Sus scrofa: one gene and its partner. The protein of the gene in region 1 interacts with the protein of each later gene in a biochemical or structural test. Links are inferred from orthologs where the notes say so. Each region holds a gene or a part of one and is shown in the gene's direction. Other genes may lie near its edges. The genes, in order: KDM5C and histone H3.2.

The links.
Region 2: the proteins of KDM5C (region 1) and histone H3.2 form a complex in vitro, tested with the Homo sapiens proteins (3 studies listed by BioGRID, with this or other methods). The link is inferred for Sus scrofa from reciprocal best matches to the Homo sapiens genes KDM5C and H3C15.

What each region holds. Positions count from the first base shown.
Region 1 is NC_010461.5:45,986,836-45,995,263, reverse strand, and holds part of KDM5C (lysine-specific demethylase 5C), read left to right. Parts: intron 1-350; coding exon 351-485; intron 486-1,210; coding exon 1,211-1,334; intron 1,335-1,428; coding exon 1,429-1,610; intron 1,611-2,849; coding exon 2,850-3,008; intron 3,009-4,780; coding exon 4,781-4,900; intron 4,901-5,032; coding exon 5,033-5,191; intron 5,192-6,070; coding exon 6,071-6,252; intron 6,253-6,351; coding exon 6,352-6,514; intron 6,515-8,428. UniProt on the Homo sapiens protein: Histone demethylase that specifically demethylates 'Lys-4' of histone H3, thereby playing a central role in histone code. Does not demethylate histone H3 'Lys-9', H3 'Lys-27', H3 'Lys-36', H3 'Lys-79' or H4 'Lys-20'.
Region 2 is NC_010446.5:99,195,364-99,202,702, forward strand, and holds histone H3.2, read left to right. Parts: upstream 1-3,879; coding exon 3,880-4,290; downstream 4,291-7,339. Other genes in the region: histone H2B type 2-E, read right to left, coding at 1,564-1,944; histone H2A type 2-A-like, read left to right, coding at 2,169-2,690. UniProt on the Homo sapiens protein: Core component of nucleosome. Nucleosomes wrap and compact DNA into chromatin, limiting DNA accessibility to the cellular machineries which require DNA as a template.

The sequences.
Region 1 (8,428 bases):
TTTATCACAGGATACTGAATATAGTTTCCTGCCACACTTGTTCTTAGTGGAACTGGTTCTGTGGACTGGAGACCTGGAGAGGTCTGGGAAGAGATGAAGTCTGATTTAGTTGGGGAGGTGGTTGAGGGGAGGTGGTTGGAAGGAGGGATAGCATAAATAAAGGCATGAGAATTCTCAAAGTGTGTGCTGGTATCTGTGGTAAACACCATTTGAATAGGACCTATTGGTGCAGGTTGTGGGGAGGAGGGTGAAACCAGAGCTTTGGTTGCCATTGGGCGAGGGTAGAAGAAGTCTTTGCTGTTAGGGGCTGGGGCCCCATGCCCTGACCCTTACCCCTTACCTGTCCCCAGCAGTGCAACACACGTCCATTTGATAATGAAGAGAAGGACAAGGAATATAAACCCCACAGTATCCCCCTTCGACAGTCTGTACAACCCTCCAAGTTCAACAGTTATGGCCGGCGAGCCAAGAGACTGCAGCCTGATGTGAGTATTTCCCTTCTTCTAACTTAGAACTTTGGAGGTAGAGTCCTTGCCCTCCCTGTGGCCGAGGCCCTGTTCCCTGGTCCACTCTCCCTTCTCTCGGTTCTAACAGTAGTGTGCCTCTCTCAGGCTTCCCTCTTGTTCTTCCTCTATTCTCAGCTGAGCGTCTGGGCTGGGTTTTGTTCGTATAATATCTTTTCTATGTCTGCTGTTCTTGCCTGTCTTGTTCCCTTCTTGACTCACTCTGCTCAGAGGGGTAGATTTCATTCTCCTTGTACTATACCCTAGCTTCAGGCAGAAGCTTATGTGCTGGCATTCTTCTAGACACTGGAGATACAACAGAGAACAAGATAGACACTGTCCCTGGGCTCAGCAAAGCATGTAATTTACCAGATCATATTAGTCACTGCCACCTAACTGGTAGCGTCGAGCACTTAGATTTCTTTATATCCTCAAATCCCCTTGTAACTGTAATGTGGGAGTTAATATTCTCACTTTACAGTTGGAAAAACTGAGATCCTCTCTTATTTCCTTTCCAATAGAGGGATGAGGAGGGAGTTCACTTATCCCAGTCTCCAAAAAGCAATCTGAATTCTTGCTCTGGCCCACCTATGCCCCATACCTGCCATGAGCTCAGGTGATATATGTAGTCCCAAGCTATTGTTCTTTTAGGATGGGGCAGTTTGCCCCAGATAGCAGTCTTGATTCATCTCCTTCTTTCCTTACAGCCGGAACCCACAGAGGAAGACATTGAAAAGAACCCTGAACTGAAGAAGCTTCAGATCTATGGGGCAGGCCCCAAGATGATGGGCCTGGGCCTCATGGCCAAGGATAAGACTCTGCGGAAGAAAGGTGAGGCCTGGCAGGCTGGGCAGTGTGAAGGGAGAGGAGGTGGCCCTGACTATTCAGACCTCCTGAACTGTAGAGTCATTTCTCTCTCTCCCAGATAAGGAAGGGCCTGAGTGCCCCCCAACAGTAGTGGTGAAGGAGGAGTCAGGCGGGGATGTGAAGGTGGAGTCAACTTCACCCAAGACCTTCCTGGAGAGCAAGGAGGAGCTGAGTCACAGCCCAGAGCCCTGCACCAAGATGACCATGAGGCTGCGGAGGAACCACAGCAATGCCCAGTTTGTAAGGACCCAGCCCTGACTTCCTAATGTTCTGCTTCTCATCCCTTCAACGAGCCTTTCCCCAGCATGGCATTGGACCAGGTTGCATTAAGCAGAAAAGTGGGCCTGGTGGGCCCTGCCCTCAGGTAGCTCACTTAATTGGGGAAACAAGGCCAACTCACATGGAACAAAGAGCAAGAAAGGGTGATCAAGTGCTGTCAACATGAAGTGCTGGAAGGGTGCGGAGAAGGAGACTCCCTCTCCATTGCTTCAGGATAAAGTCTAAGCTTCTCATTACCATGCATGATCCAGTCCCTGCTGACCTCTAGCCTCATTCCCCAGCACTGCCCACCTCACTCTGCTATAGCCACACTGAACTACTTGTAGGTATGTTTGTTTTTTTCCCCCAAGATGTGCCATGCTTTCTTTTTCCCATCCTATGCACATGCTGTTTCTTCTGCCTAGAAGCGTTTCCCTTTGTGCTCTGCCCCATAGCCAAATTTCAGTTTACCTTTAGGTTCCAGTCAGCTTCAAACATCACCTTTTCAGTGAAGTTCTTCCTCGGGGCTGTCTCTACTTATTTCCTGCTGATTCAGATGCTTCCTCCTTTAGGTTCCCATAGTACCCTTTTGTAGGCTGCTATTGGCAGTGTCCACACTGTCCTTTAATTTTTATGAACTTGTGCCTCTAGAGTACTGCATGCCTTTAGAAGGCAGATGCTGGAGTTCCTGCCATGGTGCAGTGGGTTACGAATTTGACTGCAGCAGTTCGGGGTGCTGCGGAGGTGCAGGTTCTATCCCCAGCATGGTGCAGTGTGTTAAAGGATCCAGCGTTACTGCATCTGTGGCTTGGGTTCAGTCCCTGGCCCAGGAACTTCCATATGCCACAGGTGCAGCCATTTAAAAAAGAAAGAAAAGGCAGATACCATGTCTTATTTATCACTGTACTGCAGAGTCTGGCATAATGTTGAGCATAAGTATTCAGTGTTTATTGAATGAATAAAAATGAGGGATTCAAGACTGAATGATAGACTCTGCTGTCAGAGCTCTCCCAGTTTATTTGGGGGAGATGGTACATGCACGTAGTTAAACTCCAGAGCTAGCATGACTGACCTGTATAGGGCCATGAATCAGCCAGCCAGCAAGTACAGTGGGTTTCTAATGGAGATCTCTGTGGACTAGGTTACTGTCTAGAGGAGTCTGGTGGTTGAAAGGCTGCACAGGGCTTAGGTTAATGAACTGTTGCCTCCCTCCCCTGGCAGATTGAGTCATATGTATGCCGGATGTGTTCCCGAGGGGATGAGGACGACAAGCTCCTGCTGTGTGATGGCTGTGATGACAACTACCACATCTTCTGCTTGCTGCCTCCTTTGCCTGAGATTCCCAAGGGTGTTTGGCGGTGCCCAAAGTGTGTCATGGCGGTAAGGACTTCCTAGCCCCAGTCTTTGCCTCATAGGCTGTCTTTGCCTTTCTTCATCTGGTCTTAGAGCAGCCTCCTAGCTCAGCCACAGGCTTCTGTTTGGGTCCCTAGGGTGGGGCTAGGCTAGAGGCACAGCTTTGGGAGAAAGAAGAGGAGGACACTTACCCTGTGTTCTCTGGGAGCTCTCAGACCGCCTGGGGTTGTGAGAGTCATGGTTAGACATTGTATGTGAAGATGTATAATCAAATGTTAAGTTGTTTGTTCAAAAACTCAGGTGTAGAAGTCCAGAGGAAGAGGAAGATGACTGAGGGTAGTAATAAGAGAAGGTGTCAGCAATGAGATTTGGAGGACAGGAATATGAAGGAAAAAATGTTATTTTGATTTCCAAGTTCTGTATTCTTTGTTTCTTTTAGAAAGCTTGGAAAATAGACAAATTACGTATCATCACACCACCTAGAGACAGCCATTATTAATAGTCTGGTATATTTTCTTCTCATCTTTTCATTATTGCATATATATAACTATCTTATATAACAAGTTTGGGATCTTATTGCACATTTTCATTTGTTACTTTATAATCACTTTTCTGTATAATTAAATTATTCACGGGTATGATTTTTTTTTTCCTTGTAGGGGTCCCATCATGTGGGTATAATGTTTAGTCGTTTTCCTTCTGTTGTGATAATTAGATTGGTTTGCAATGTTGTAGACTTTAACTACATGAGATGGGCAGGCTTTCTAGAGCCCTTGGTGGGTGGAGGGTTGCAAGAGCAAGGGTGTATGGGGAGAATGTACCTAGTACAAGAGAGGCAGCGGGGAAAGCAGGTGAAGCAGCAGTGAGGGCTAAGAGCCTGGGAAGTCTGCCAGGTCTGTTTCATGAGCCTCCTACCTTCCTTCATCCAAATTCCAGGTGCTCATCTCTATCTCTCTGGATTTCTGGAGAGTAGACATCGATAGTCTCTTGCCCTATCTTAGAGAGACAGCTGTGGTCTTAGAGACCAGGTGTGCATGTGCATTCACACAAACACAGACAGATGAGGAAGGAGACCAGGGCAGTGTGTAATGGCCTTAGTAGTGGTGGGGATTCCTTTAGGGAGGAGTTTGGATACCAGCAGTATCTTGACAACAAAGACTATCAGCTCTTCTTGGCATGCTTCTCTAAGTGGCGGTGGGTCAGTGGACCAAATTGGCATTGTTTTCAGACAGGAGCAGGAGGTCTGCCTGACTCTGGGGTACACACACCTCTCATCTAAAACCGTGAGCTTTGGAACAAGTGAGTTAGACATATCCTGTCTACTGAGACAGTAAAGAACAGGAATAGTGTGGAGTTTGACACTGGAAGCTAGTGCATTAGTTTCCCATCCTCCAAGCTACTAGAGTATTTGGTGACATGTTCCCAGGCCTGTAGTTCCAGTCTGGGCATAGAAAAACCTCTCTAAGCATTGTATAAACTCACATTTTATCTCGAAAGAAAAAGTGGCAGAAGAGCATAGGGTAGTATGTTTAAGTCAGAGCCCGTGGTTTAGATACTAAAGCCCTGAAGGAAGAGTAAAACCATGGTAGAAATACGTGTGGGGAATGAAGAGACCGACTACACTGAAGTGCTAGGAGAAAAAGGTAGAGCTATGACATGAGGCCTGCCTCAGGGGCCTTCAGTACAGACCTAGGGCTGTTCTCCCTCCTTATTCCTACCCCCCATATTCTAGCTCCGCTTTTGAGGATTCTCCACCTCTATGCCTCTGCCTTGGTGACATGTTCTCCTTTGGGTTTCAGGAGTGTAAGCGCCCCCCCGAAGCCTTTGGCTTTGAGCAGGCTACCCGGGAATACACTCTGCAGAGCTTTGGCGAAATGGCTGACTCCTTTAAAGCCGATTACTTCAACATGCCCGTACACGTAGGTGATGGAGGGCTGGGGTAGTGTCAGGGCTAGGGTCGTAGGTGTTTGGTGCCTGATGGTCTTAGCTCTCCTGGGTCAATGGGGCCAGGACGTGATGAGCCGTGGTCATCTGCTACCCTTGTTTCCTAGATGGTGCCCACAGAACTCGTGGAGAAGGAATTCTGGCGGCTGGTGAATAGCATTGAGGAAGATGTGACTGTTGAGTATGGGGCTGACATCCATTCCAAAGAATTTGGTAGTGGTTTCCCTGTCAGTGACAGTAAGCGGCACCTAACCCCTGAGGAGGAGGTGAGTAGATGATTCATGGTTATATGTGAGATGTGTAAGCTTAGGCAAGTTATTTTAGTATCTGAAAAACGCAGTATCTCTATAGGATAGGGACAGTTATACCTGCCTTATGTGGTTGCTGTGAGATTTAGATGGGATGACGTATGTAAAGAACACAGTCTAGTATCTAGTATAGAATCTCTTGACATGAGATTGGCTTTTTCTTTTGTTTGTAAAGTGGGGGTAGTAGTCACCTCATGAATTTTATAACAAAAGAGGGAGTTGCCATTGTGGCACAGTGGCAACAAATCCAACTAGGAACCATGAGGTTGCGGGTTCGATCCCTGGCCTCACTCAGTGGATTGGGGATCCTGCATTGCCGTGAGCTGTGGTGTAGGTTGCACATTTGGCTCGGATCTGGAGTGGCTGTGGCTGTGGCGTTGGCCGGCGGCTATAGCTCCGATTCGACCCCTAGCCTGGGAACCTCCATATGAAAAAAAAACCAAACAAACAATTAAATAAGAAAGTATGCGAACGTGCCTGGCAGGGTGCCCGGCTCATTCATAAAAAGTGTTCAGGGACTGGGATTATAAATGCAGGGAAAAAATGAGGGCCTAGGCCTGTTTCAAGGGGAAGTATGCATTTTTGTCCAGAGCAAGGGCTTTTAACTTGCAGGTATTTGGTGGATAGGTATATCTATAAACCTCCCTAAAATTGAAGTAAAGTGAAGTGAATTGAAATTTTGTGTGTATGCATTTGAGAGCGGCTGGGAGAAAACCTGTAGTATTTCTTAGATGTTTCAGAAAGGTCTGTGGCTTCAAAATTAAGGTTCCCTGGGCTAAAGATCTCAGCATCTTAGCAAAACCCTCATCCCTTTTCCACAAATACCTCACCCGACAGGAATATGCTACAAGTGGTTGGAACCTGAATGTGATGCCAGTGTTGGAGCAGTCTGTACTGTGCCACATCAATGCAGATATCTCTGGCATGAAGGTGCCCTGGCTCTATGTAGGCATGGTCTTCTCAGCCTTTTGCTGGCATATTGAGGATCACTGGAGTTACTCCATTAACTACCTCCATTGGTGAGTTGGGGTCCTGGGAAGCCAGGGAAACAGTCAGAGTGGGGCTCCTTCTGTACCACAGGTGTGCCCACTCTGACTGTCCCCTTTCTATTTGGCCAGGGGTGAGCCGAAGACCTGGTATGGGGTACCCTCACTTGCAGCAGAACATTTGGAAGAGGTGATGAAGAAGCTGACACCTGAGCTCTTTGATAGCCAGCCTGATCTTCTGCACCAACTTGTCACCCTCATGAATCCCAACACCCTCATGTCCCATGGTGTGCCGGTGAGTACCCAGGAAACAGGAGCAAGGGGTAGGAATGAGTTAGTGATGACTTGTGGTGGTAGTGGTGGTGATTGTCTGGAATCTACCCCTGTCTCTTTCTCATTCCTTTTCTTTCTAAATTGGACTATAGGTTTGATGGCTCTAATAGAGACCCAAAATAATAGTGATTAGATATACAATGTGATGATGTGCGCTCTGGGCCAGGTGTTTGAGAGCAGCGCCTTAGGGAAGGCTTCTTACCACATCTACATTCCAGTCAGTGGGAGAGGGAAATGTAGGGGGGACCAGGCAAGACAAGTCGTCTTAACTTCTAAAGGCATACATCATTTCCATTCATCTCCTGTTAGTCACAGCTTAGTCACATGGCCACATCTAGCTACAAGGAAAACTGGAAAATCTAATTTTTATTAAGGATGGTCATGTACCAGCCACAAATTGGAAGTTATGTTATTATGAAAGAGGGTAAGAATAAATATAGGAGGACAACTACCAGTCTTTGCTGTACCCTCCATATTGTAACCGTTCTCCAAGCAGTAGGTAGGTCTTTTTACTTATTTAACAGATCAGAGGTCTGTGGTGGTAATTATTTTGCAATATATAAGTGTATTAAATCAACATGTTGTATACCTTAAATTTACACAGTTATTATATGTTAATTATATCTTAGTAAAGCTGGGGTAAAAAAGTAACCTTAAAAAAAGTGCCAGTATCTTTCAGCATTTAAAAAAAGAAAAAAAAGCTGAACCCAGAGTCCTGGCTTGTCCTGTTCTCCTTCTCTATGGACTTCTCTCCCATTCAGGGTATACAACCTGGCTTACCTATAAAGGGCTTTATATTCCAGGGAATTTCTAAAATTGAATAGCATCAGCCAGTTTTCTAGTATGAATCTTAAAACAACCTGATCAACAATCCTGTAAGAGCAGGGGTGAGTACCTCTGCTTTGAGTCTTATTCTCTGCTGCTAATCCTCCCCCATCTCCTTCAAACATGCCTGCCCCAGCAGCCTTGGCTGTCCTGCCACTTAGTCTACTTAGTCTAATGCATGGGACATGGTAGATAGTCAGTACTCTCTGAATTAATTTCTCCTTGAAATCCCTGGTCATCTGTACAGTAGGACTGTGGACTAGGTCAAGTGGTCCTCACCTGAATTTCTTCTCACCTTCAGCTTGTTTTGGTATACTATATAATCTGTGAGTAGTATTTTTTATTACATATCTTAGTGTTACTAATCAAAGATTAGGGTATCTAGGTATTTAGAAGAAACAACATTCTACCACAGTTGTGGCCACCTTCCTCCACTTGAGGAAGTGAGGGGGAGTATCCTTTCCCTTTCTACCTCACTCCATTCAGTAATTACAGGGCTCGAGATGTGAAAATGATCAAGGACCATAAGCTTCTCAAAAATAGACACTGAGTCTGACCTTCCCTTAGACTCCTTTCTTCCTGACCCACAGCATAGCATCAGTTCTTTTCCACAATATCAAGGAGACTTGTAAGAGTAGAACAAGGTTCTCCTTAAGGATCCATACAGCTAAGATCCATATATATATACATAATTATAATTATATAAATATGTAGCTATTTAACCCTTACCACATTTCAAAAAAACTTTTATCACAGACTTTTAGATATGTGTCCTTTGTTTCCACCTCCACAGCATTTCTCCTGCTCATGGCTCTAGCCAGCTGCTGCTTTACCACCCTACTCTCTGTCTGCCCTGCCCTTCCTATAGGTAGTTCCCAGCATCTCCAGGCTTTTTGGACCTCAGAGTATCCCCTCAATCCAGGGCATCTGATTTTCATATTCACATGTTGGCAGGTTTCAATTTAGCCAGCTGGAGCTCCCTCAGAGCTATCTTTGGCCACCTACCCCCACCTCGCCTGCCTTCCCCTTTGGTGAGAGAAGGCCATTTCTT
Region 2 (7,339 bases), on another chromosome or scaffold:
GTTGTTCTCAAACGTGAAGCCACCCAGTGAGATTTTTAAAATTCCAAGTGATGGCTGTATCCAAAATCACTTAAATCAGAATTTCTGGGGATGGCACCCAGGCACCAGTATTTTTAGAAGTTCTCAGGGTACAATGGGGAAATTTGAGACCCAAACATAAGGGGTTGGGTGAGTTCCTTAATGAAAATCAGCGTACAATTAGAGAAACAGAAGAAAAATGCCATAGTCAATAATATACATTGTAGGGCTATCAACTACTAAGTTATACTTCATAACAAACATAAGAAATCAAGTCTTGAAGAATACTTTACGGAAACACAGAAGGAGAAATAAAGCCTAGAAGAATACTACTGTGTTTATAGAGTATGGACAAAGAATGTCACCTGCCATTTCAGTAAATAATAGATGCTGTGGCCAAAAAGCGATCAACCACTGCAGCCACCCCTACAGTGCACCCTGAGGGGATTCAGGATGGAGAAAAACAAGATGATGGCCCTGCAGAGTTAAGGTGCATATCAAAGGAATGGTTTCAATAAGCCCAGACTCTTGCATCTTCCTATACCTAAAAGCACTAAAAGCATTAACTTGAGATGTCTGTTTTCGTGATTAGCAGTTGCATTTTTTTAGAAAGAGATGGGGATCATGTTATTCAGATTCCTGCTGAAAGCAATCCAAGGGTTCCCAAAGTACTAAAACTAAAAGTGTGAGGCCAATCTCCTTTGCCCTCCCAGCCACTGGGGCTTTCTGCTGCTCTAACAGTTCAAACTTTTTCGTCCTTCGGAAATTATGCATATTTCGTTCCCATTGTATGGACATATCATTTAAATTGGGCAAGTTTTCTGAGTGATAATTCTCTAGGGAGGACACTATCACCAAATATTAAGCAGGTCTTATGTGATCTGATGAGATGAAGTAAAGAGAAGGCACCAGCATACCGGCTGATTCCTGGGGATCAAAATCAAGCTTCTATTTTCCTAATTGGGGAATCTACATATAAACAGGCTACACAGATACTTGTAAGTGCAGTATACACAAACTCATGGAATTTGTTAGTACCAAATCTAATAATTATCTTTTTTTGTACACAATAGAGCACATGGGTAAAAAAATTCTGCCACCAGCATTTTGTTCCTTAACACCAGACGGCTACACCTTTGAAGTTTTATGCTGCATGCAGAAGTTTATATACTACAAAAAAAGAAAAAAAGGCATTTTGCTTAACAACTTGGATGTAGACACATGCACTTGCGTTCAATCAAGTCCAAACCAGTTTCAAGAGCAGTTCTATGACAAAATATAGCATGCCTACCCTCCATTAGGTTCTTTCACCCAACTAGGTAAGCATACCTATCCGTCAAATATCTGGATGGAAATAGAATTTGTTTCTAACTACTGGCAACTCCCAGTATTAACTAGAAGAAACCAAAAGGCAAAGTAGGAAAACAGGACCCGGATAAAACAAGATGACAGCTTCTTCCATTGAGAAGATGGGTGGCTCTGAAAAGAGCCTTTTGGAGTCAAGCGACCCGGCGATCGGGCGAGCGCCACTATCCCGGCAGGGACTCACTTGGAGCTGGTGTACTTGGTGACCGCCTTGGTGCCCTCGGACACGGCGTGCTTGGCCAGCTCGCCGGGCAGCAGCAGGCGCACGGCCGTCTGGATCTCCCGGGACGTGATGGTCGAGCGCTTGTTGTAATGAGCCAGGCGGGACGCTTCGCCCGCGATGCGCTCGAAGATGTCGTTGACGAAGGAGTTCATGATGCCCATGGCCTTGGACGAGATGCCCGTGTCCGGGTGCACCTGCTTCAGCACCTTGTACACGTAGATGGAATAGCTCTCCTTGCGGCTGCGCTTCCGCTTCTTGCCGTCCTTCTTCTGGGCTTTGGTGACGGCTTTCTTCGAGCCCTTCTTGGGCGCCGGGGCGGACTTGGCGGGCTCAGGCATAACGGCAGACACCAGCTGCAAAGGACAACCGGGAACGCAAAGGCAACAACTACACGGAGGCTACCGGAAGCGACTCGGTACTTATAGAGGCCGTACGCAAATGAAGGCTTGGGTTCCGCCGCGTTGCGATTCGCGAGTTTTCAGTGGCTCTGCTGCGAGGGGAGACGAGGTTATGTAAATGAGTGGATTCTGGTTGCGCTATCCTATTGGCCACCGGGACACAGATGTGCTCTAGCCAATCAACGTGCTCCGTAGCCAATCGCCGCTCTGCCTATAAAAAGGTGAAGCGGGGCCGTTTAGGGCGACTTTCTCGGTCACCTAAGCGGGAGCCGGTTGCAGTGAGTGTCGTTGTCATGTCTGGTCGTGGCAAACAGGGAGGCAAGGCCCGCGCAAAGGCCAAGTCCCGTTCGTCCCGCGCAGGTCTGCAGTTCCCCGTAGGGCGGGTGCACCGCTTGCTGCGCAAAGGCAACTATGCCGAGCGGGTGGGGGCCGGCGCGCCCGTCTACATGGCGGCGGTGCTGGAGTACCTGACCGCGGAAATCCTGGAGCTGGCGGGCAACGCGGCGCGAGACAACAAGAAGACGCGCATCATCCCCCGCCACTTGCAGCTGGCTATCCGCAACGACGAGGAGCTGAACAAGCTGTTGGGCAAAGTCACCATCGCCCAGGGCGGCGTCTTGCCCAACATCCAGGCCGTGTTGCTCCCCAAGAAGACGGAGAGCCACCACAAGGCAAAGGGCAAGTGAGGCCGGCATCCGGAAGCCCACCCAGCCCCGTCCGGAAGGGGCACCTGTGAAATCAAAGGCTCTTTTCAGAGCCACCCACTCTTTCAAATAAAAAAAAGAGTTGTTACACTAGCCAGCTTTCTCCTTAACTCCACCCTTGGTAGTAAGCACGGAGGTGGGCGGAGGGAGTGCCGTTTGCCCTCTACTCCCTGCCGTTCCTCACTCGCCTCTGGAACTAGGTGCTTTAGCCGTTATTTTGCTGGGAAGCGGGTGCGGGTGGGAGTGTGGCAAATCCTAGGATCTAATTAACGCAGGTAGAGGTAGCAAACCTTGCTTGGGCGAGCCAGGGTCGACTCGGCTGCTGAAAGTAAGCAGTACCAGGCGGCCGCGACGCTCTATCTCGAAGTCGGATGCCCGGTGAGCAACTGCAGTTACTTCCCAAGCCTCTGCCCAACACCTGAGGTCTAGCACCAAGGGGACGTTCCCTCGCACACGCGCACGCCCCGTACACCCCAGTCGGTTAGGGGATAAAGACGGTTTTCGGGAGCGTAGCGGACGTGGGTTTTGGCTTGAGCCCACCGTCTTTGGAAGGGGAGTGGGGGGAGTGAGGAGGCGCCTTCGCGGCGGGGATGGGGATAACAGGTCCTGAGGCTCTCGGAAGTGGAGTCTTGCTCCCGGAGAGGGCGCAGATAACCTTCCGATCCGAAAAGCACCAAAGGGCCGGGGGGCGGGGGGGGGAAGATCGGCCAGACTAGCAGCTAACCTAGGGGGTTCTGACAAGGTAACAAGGCGTTCAGGGGGCGGGGGTTCGGTCCGGGAGGTAAAAAGCGTGGAAAGGAGGCGGGCATCGGGGGTAGCGTGTTCTAAGGGAGCGAAGGGCTGAAGAGGAACGTTCTGACACAGTCGCGCTCAAAAATGACTCTCGCCGGGAAGAAAGGAAAGACGAGGCCGGGAAAACTGCTGGCAAACTGGAAAGTAGAAAGGGAGGGAGGGAGGGAGGGTGGGGGGCGGGCGGAGGAGGATTCTGCCCAAGCCAATCAGTGGCGCTAGGGCTGGTGAGGTCACAGCCAATAGAGAGCCAGCGCGGGACTTTCAATTATTGTCCCGCCCAATCGGGACAAGCCTGTGCCTATAAAGACTGCTGCGGCGGGCGTCCCCCTGGTTACTCTCCCTTCGCTGCGCTGGTAAGCTCGTGTTTTGGCTCGCCGCCATGGCCCGTACTAAGCAGACTGCCCGCAAATCGACCGGGGGCAAGGCCCCGCGGAAGCAGCTGGCCACCAAGGCGGCCCGCAAGAGCGCGCCGGCCACCGGCGGCGTGAAGAAGCCCCACCGCTACCGGCCGGGCACCGTGGCCCTGCGGGAGATCCGGCGCTACCAGAAGTCGACCGAGCTGCTGATCCGCAAGCTGCCCTTCCAGCGCCTGGTGCGCGAGATCGCGCAGGACTTCAAGACGGACCTGCGCTTCCAGAGCTCGGCCGTGATGGCGCTGCAGGAGGCGAGCGAGGCCTACCTGGTGGGGCTGTTTGAAGACACGAACCTGTGTGCCATCCACGCCAAGCGCGTGACCATCATGCCCAAAGACATCCAGCTGGCCCGCCGCATCCGCGGGGAGCGGGCTTAGAGAAAGAAGTGCGCACTCGGCTCGAGGTTCCATCACATCCAAAGGCTCTTTTCAGAGCCACCCACAACCGCACTTGGAAGAGGCTGTGCCACTTTTCCGCGCTCTGTCCGGCGGACTCTCCCATAGCTCGGGGAAGGGAGGATGTTCGAGCCGGCAGAAGCACTGACTGGGCTCCGGGTACCCAAGTGGGTTAGAGGCCAGGTGTCCGGTCTAGCCCCCTGCTTGCTGGCCGCCTCCTGGCGCGTTAGAAGCTTTTGAGTCCTTCAAGAGTTTGGTCAGCTGGCTTCTCCGCTTTCTTGGGCGCGGCCATGGGTCCTCCTCAAAGGGCAAGGCGTCTCCACGGCGGCCCAGAACCGTAGTCTGTTCCAGGGAGGGGCGGGGGGGGCGGGGAGGACGGGTTGAGGCCGGGCGGGGTCACTAGGGGACGCTCAGGATTCGCGCTCCAGGGCGCGCAGGGGCCTGGCCTTTTACGCAGCTGGGAGCCGCGCGAGTATGGGTGCGTCGTCACTCCCCCCACACCCACGCCAACCCGGTGCGTTTCTCTGGCTCGGGAGGGAAATGGCCACCTCCGTCCGTCTGTCCATCCGTCCTCGTTTCTGTCGGGTAAAACCAGGCAGTCCTGCCTTTCAAGGGTTTGTGATTTGGGTCCTCCCTACCACCCTCTGCTTTCCCCCCCTCTCCTTTTGTCTTTATGCCTGCATCCTCAGCACCTGGAAGTTCCCAGGCTAGATGTCAAATCGGACCTCTAGCTCCTGGCCTATACCGCAGCTGTAGCAACGCTAGATTACAGCCTCTTGTGAGACCTACACGGCAGCTCAGGGCAAGGCTGAATCCTTAAACCACTGAGCAAGGCCTCGGATCCAACCCTCGTCCTCTTGAATACTAGTCCGGTTTGTTATCACAGGACCATGAGGGGAACCTCCACTCTGCTTCTCATCAAAAGTCGGAATGGCAGAGTTCCTGTCGTGGCTCCTTGGTTAACGAATCCGACTAGGAACCATGAGGTTACAGGTTCGATCCCTGGCCTTGCTCAATGGGTTAGCGGACTCGCCGTGAGCTGTAGTGTAGATCCCAGACGCGGCTTGGATCCCGCGTTGCTGTGGCTCTGGCATAGGCTGGTGGCTACAGCTCTGCTTGGACCCCTAGCCTGGGAACCTCCATATGCCCCAAGAGCAGCCCAAGAAATGGCAAAAAAAAAAAAAAAAAAAAAAAAAGTCGGAGTGGCTAGCAGGGTGCTGTCCAGACCTTAGGTCTATTTTTGTGAGCTGGGCCTTAAACTGGCTGTTTTTCTGTTCCATTTCACTGAGTGAGTCTCACCTCCCTGAAGTAATTTCTAAACGCTTCAATTGTATCTGGGTTCTCTGTCAATAGTTGGTAGTATCTTGTTAATACGTTTTTTTCAGTCATGTGGGAAGTCTGTCCTCAGGTTTTGGATTACTCGGTGAAAGGACAAAAGTGGGGTTCTGAGTTCTGGGAGATCAAACAGGCAGAACATGGTCCTCTTTTGAGGAGATGAAGTTTCCCTCTGAAGGAGGCCTTAGAGATGATTTTTGTACATTTGGGAAGTGCAGGGCCTCTAGTGGGCTCAGAGTGAAGACAGGGTCTTGCAGAGCCCATCTCCACAAGTTCAGATACAAAGCTGTACAGATCTTAGGTGACAACTCTTCTTAACCTTCTTAAACTTGGAAGAAGCTAACTTGTTTTCTGTTTTGTCTTGGTTCAGTGGCAGGTGAAAAGCATTAACTGATGAGTGAGAATTCACAGAGGACATAGGGAAAAGGAAGGATACTTAGTTTTGTTTTTCTTTCTTACTGTCACATGTAGGAGTTGAATTCGAGCGGCAGCTGCAGCAATGTGGGATCCTTAATGCACTGAGCAAGGCCTGAATGAACCCACATCTTCACAGAGGCAACATGGAGCCCTTAACCTGCTGAACTGCTGAGCCACAACTGGACTCCAATTTTTTTTTTTTTTTTTTTTTAAGCTCCTGTTGCCTCTTTTGAGATGTGCGAGAAATGGGGAGAGCAGTATATAGACTGTGGCCCTCCTGCTACAGTTTGCCACATGTTTCTGCTTCAGCCAGCAGTCACAGCAATTTCCAGAGCATGCCTCCCAGGGCTCTGCCCAGACCGTTATTACCTGCTTAGTCCCCCACTGCAGGATGGATTCAGCCTGGGTCTGTACTCTTCTGAGTTAAGAAGTAGAGACTTAAGGGGGGTGGCATTATATTTACACCTGCTATCTCATCCATCTTCCTGGTAAAATTTTAGGGGACATACAGACATAGGGCTTTCTGAGGTACAGCTTGAAGTTCTCAGGTGAGTAAGTGACTTGTTCATGATCTCGGGTCCAGGAACAGTTGAACAGACTCTGGAAACTTCAATGTCTGTGTCAGGTGTCAGTGCTCCACATCCTCGGCCTGCCTCTGATATCACACTGCTTTATTTTACCAATTAGGACACCCTTAACATCAAGGAAGTCTTTCATTATTAATCGCATGCAAGGGAAATTAATTTAGTGGCATTTTCGATATCCAGTCAGGAGTAGAATAAAATTTTGTCTTCCTGTCAGTATAAAGAAAGGCCTACCCTCACAGCATCCTTTCAAATCTTTTTATTTGTTTGAGAGACTGGTATAAACTGAGTTCATTGATATCAGAGTACAGTTTAAAATGAGTGTTTTATCATTTAATCATTTCTGTACTTAAATCATTCCCTACTCTCAGAGGAGAGAGTTAAAGAATAAGGACAAGGTAAATAAATGCTTTTCCTCTAGTCATTAGCTTCTACACGGCTAGAATAATTGCAAGGAAAGTCTACTCCAAACCCCTGGGATTTTTAAGAATAGAAAAACAGGAGTTCCCTTTGTGGCGCAGTGGTTAACGAATCCGACTAGGAACCATGAGGTGGCGGGTTCGGTCCCTGCCCTTGCTCAGTGGGTTAACGATCCGGCGTTGCCGTGAGCTGTGGTGTAGGTTGCAGGCGCGGCTCGGATCCCGCGTTGCTGTGGCTCTGGCGTAGGCCGGTGGCTACAGCTCTGATTCGACCCC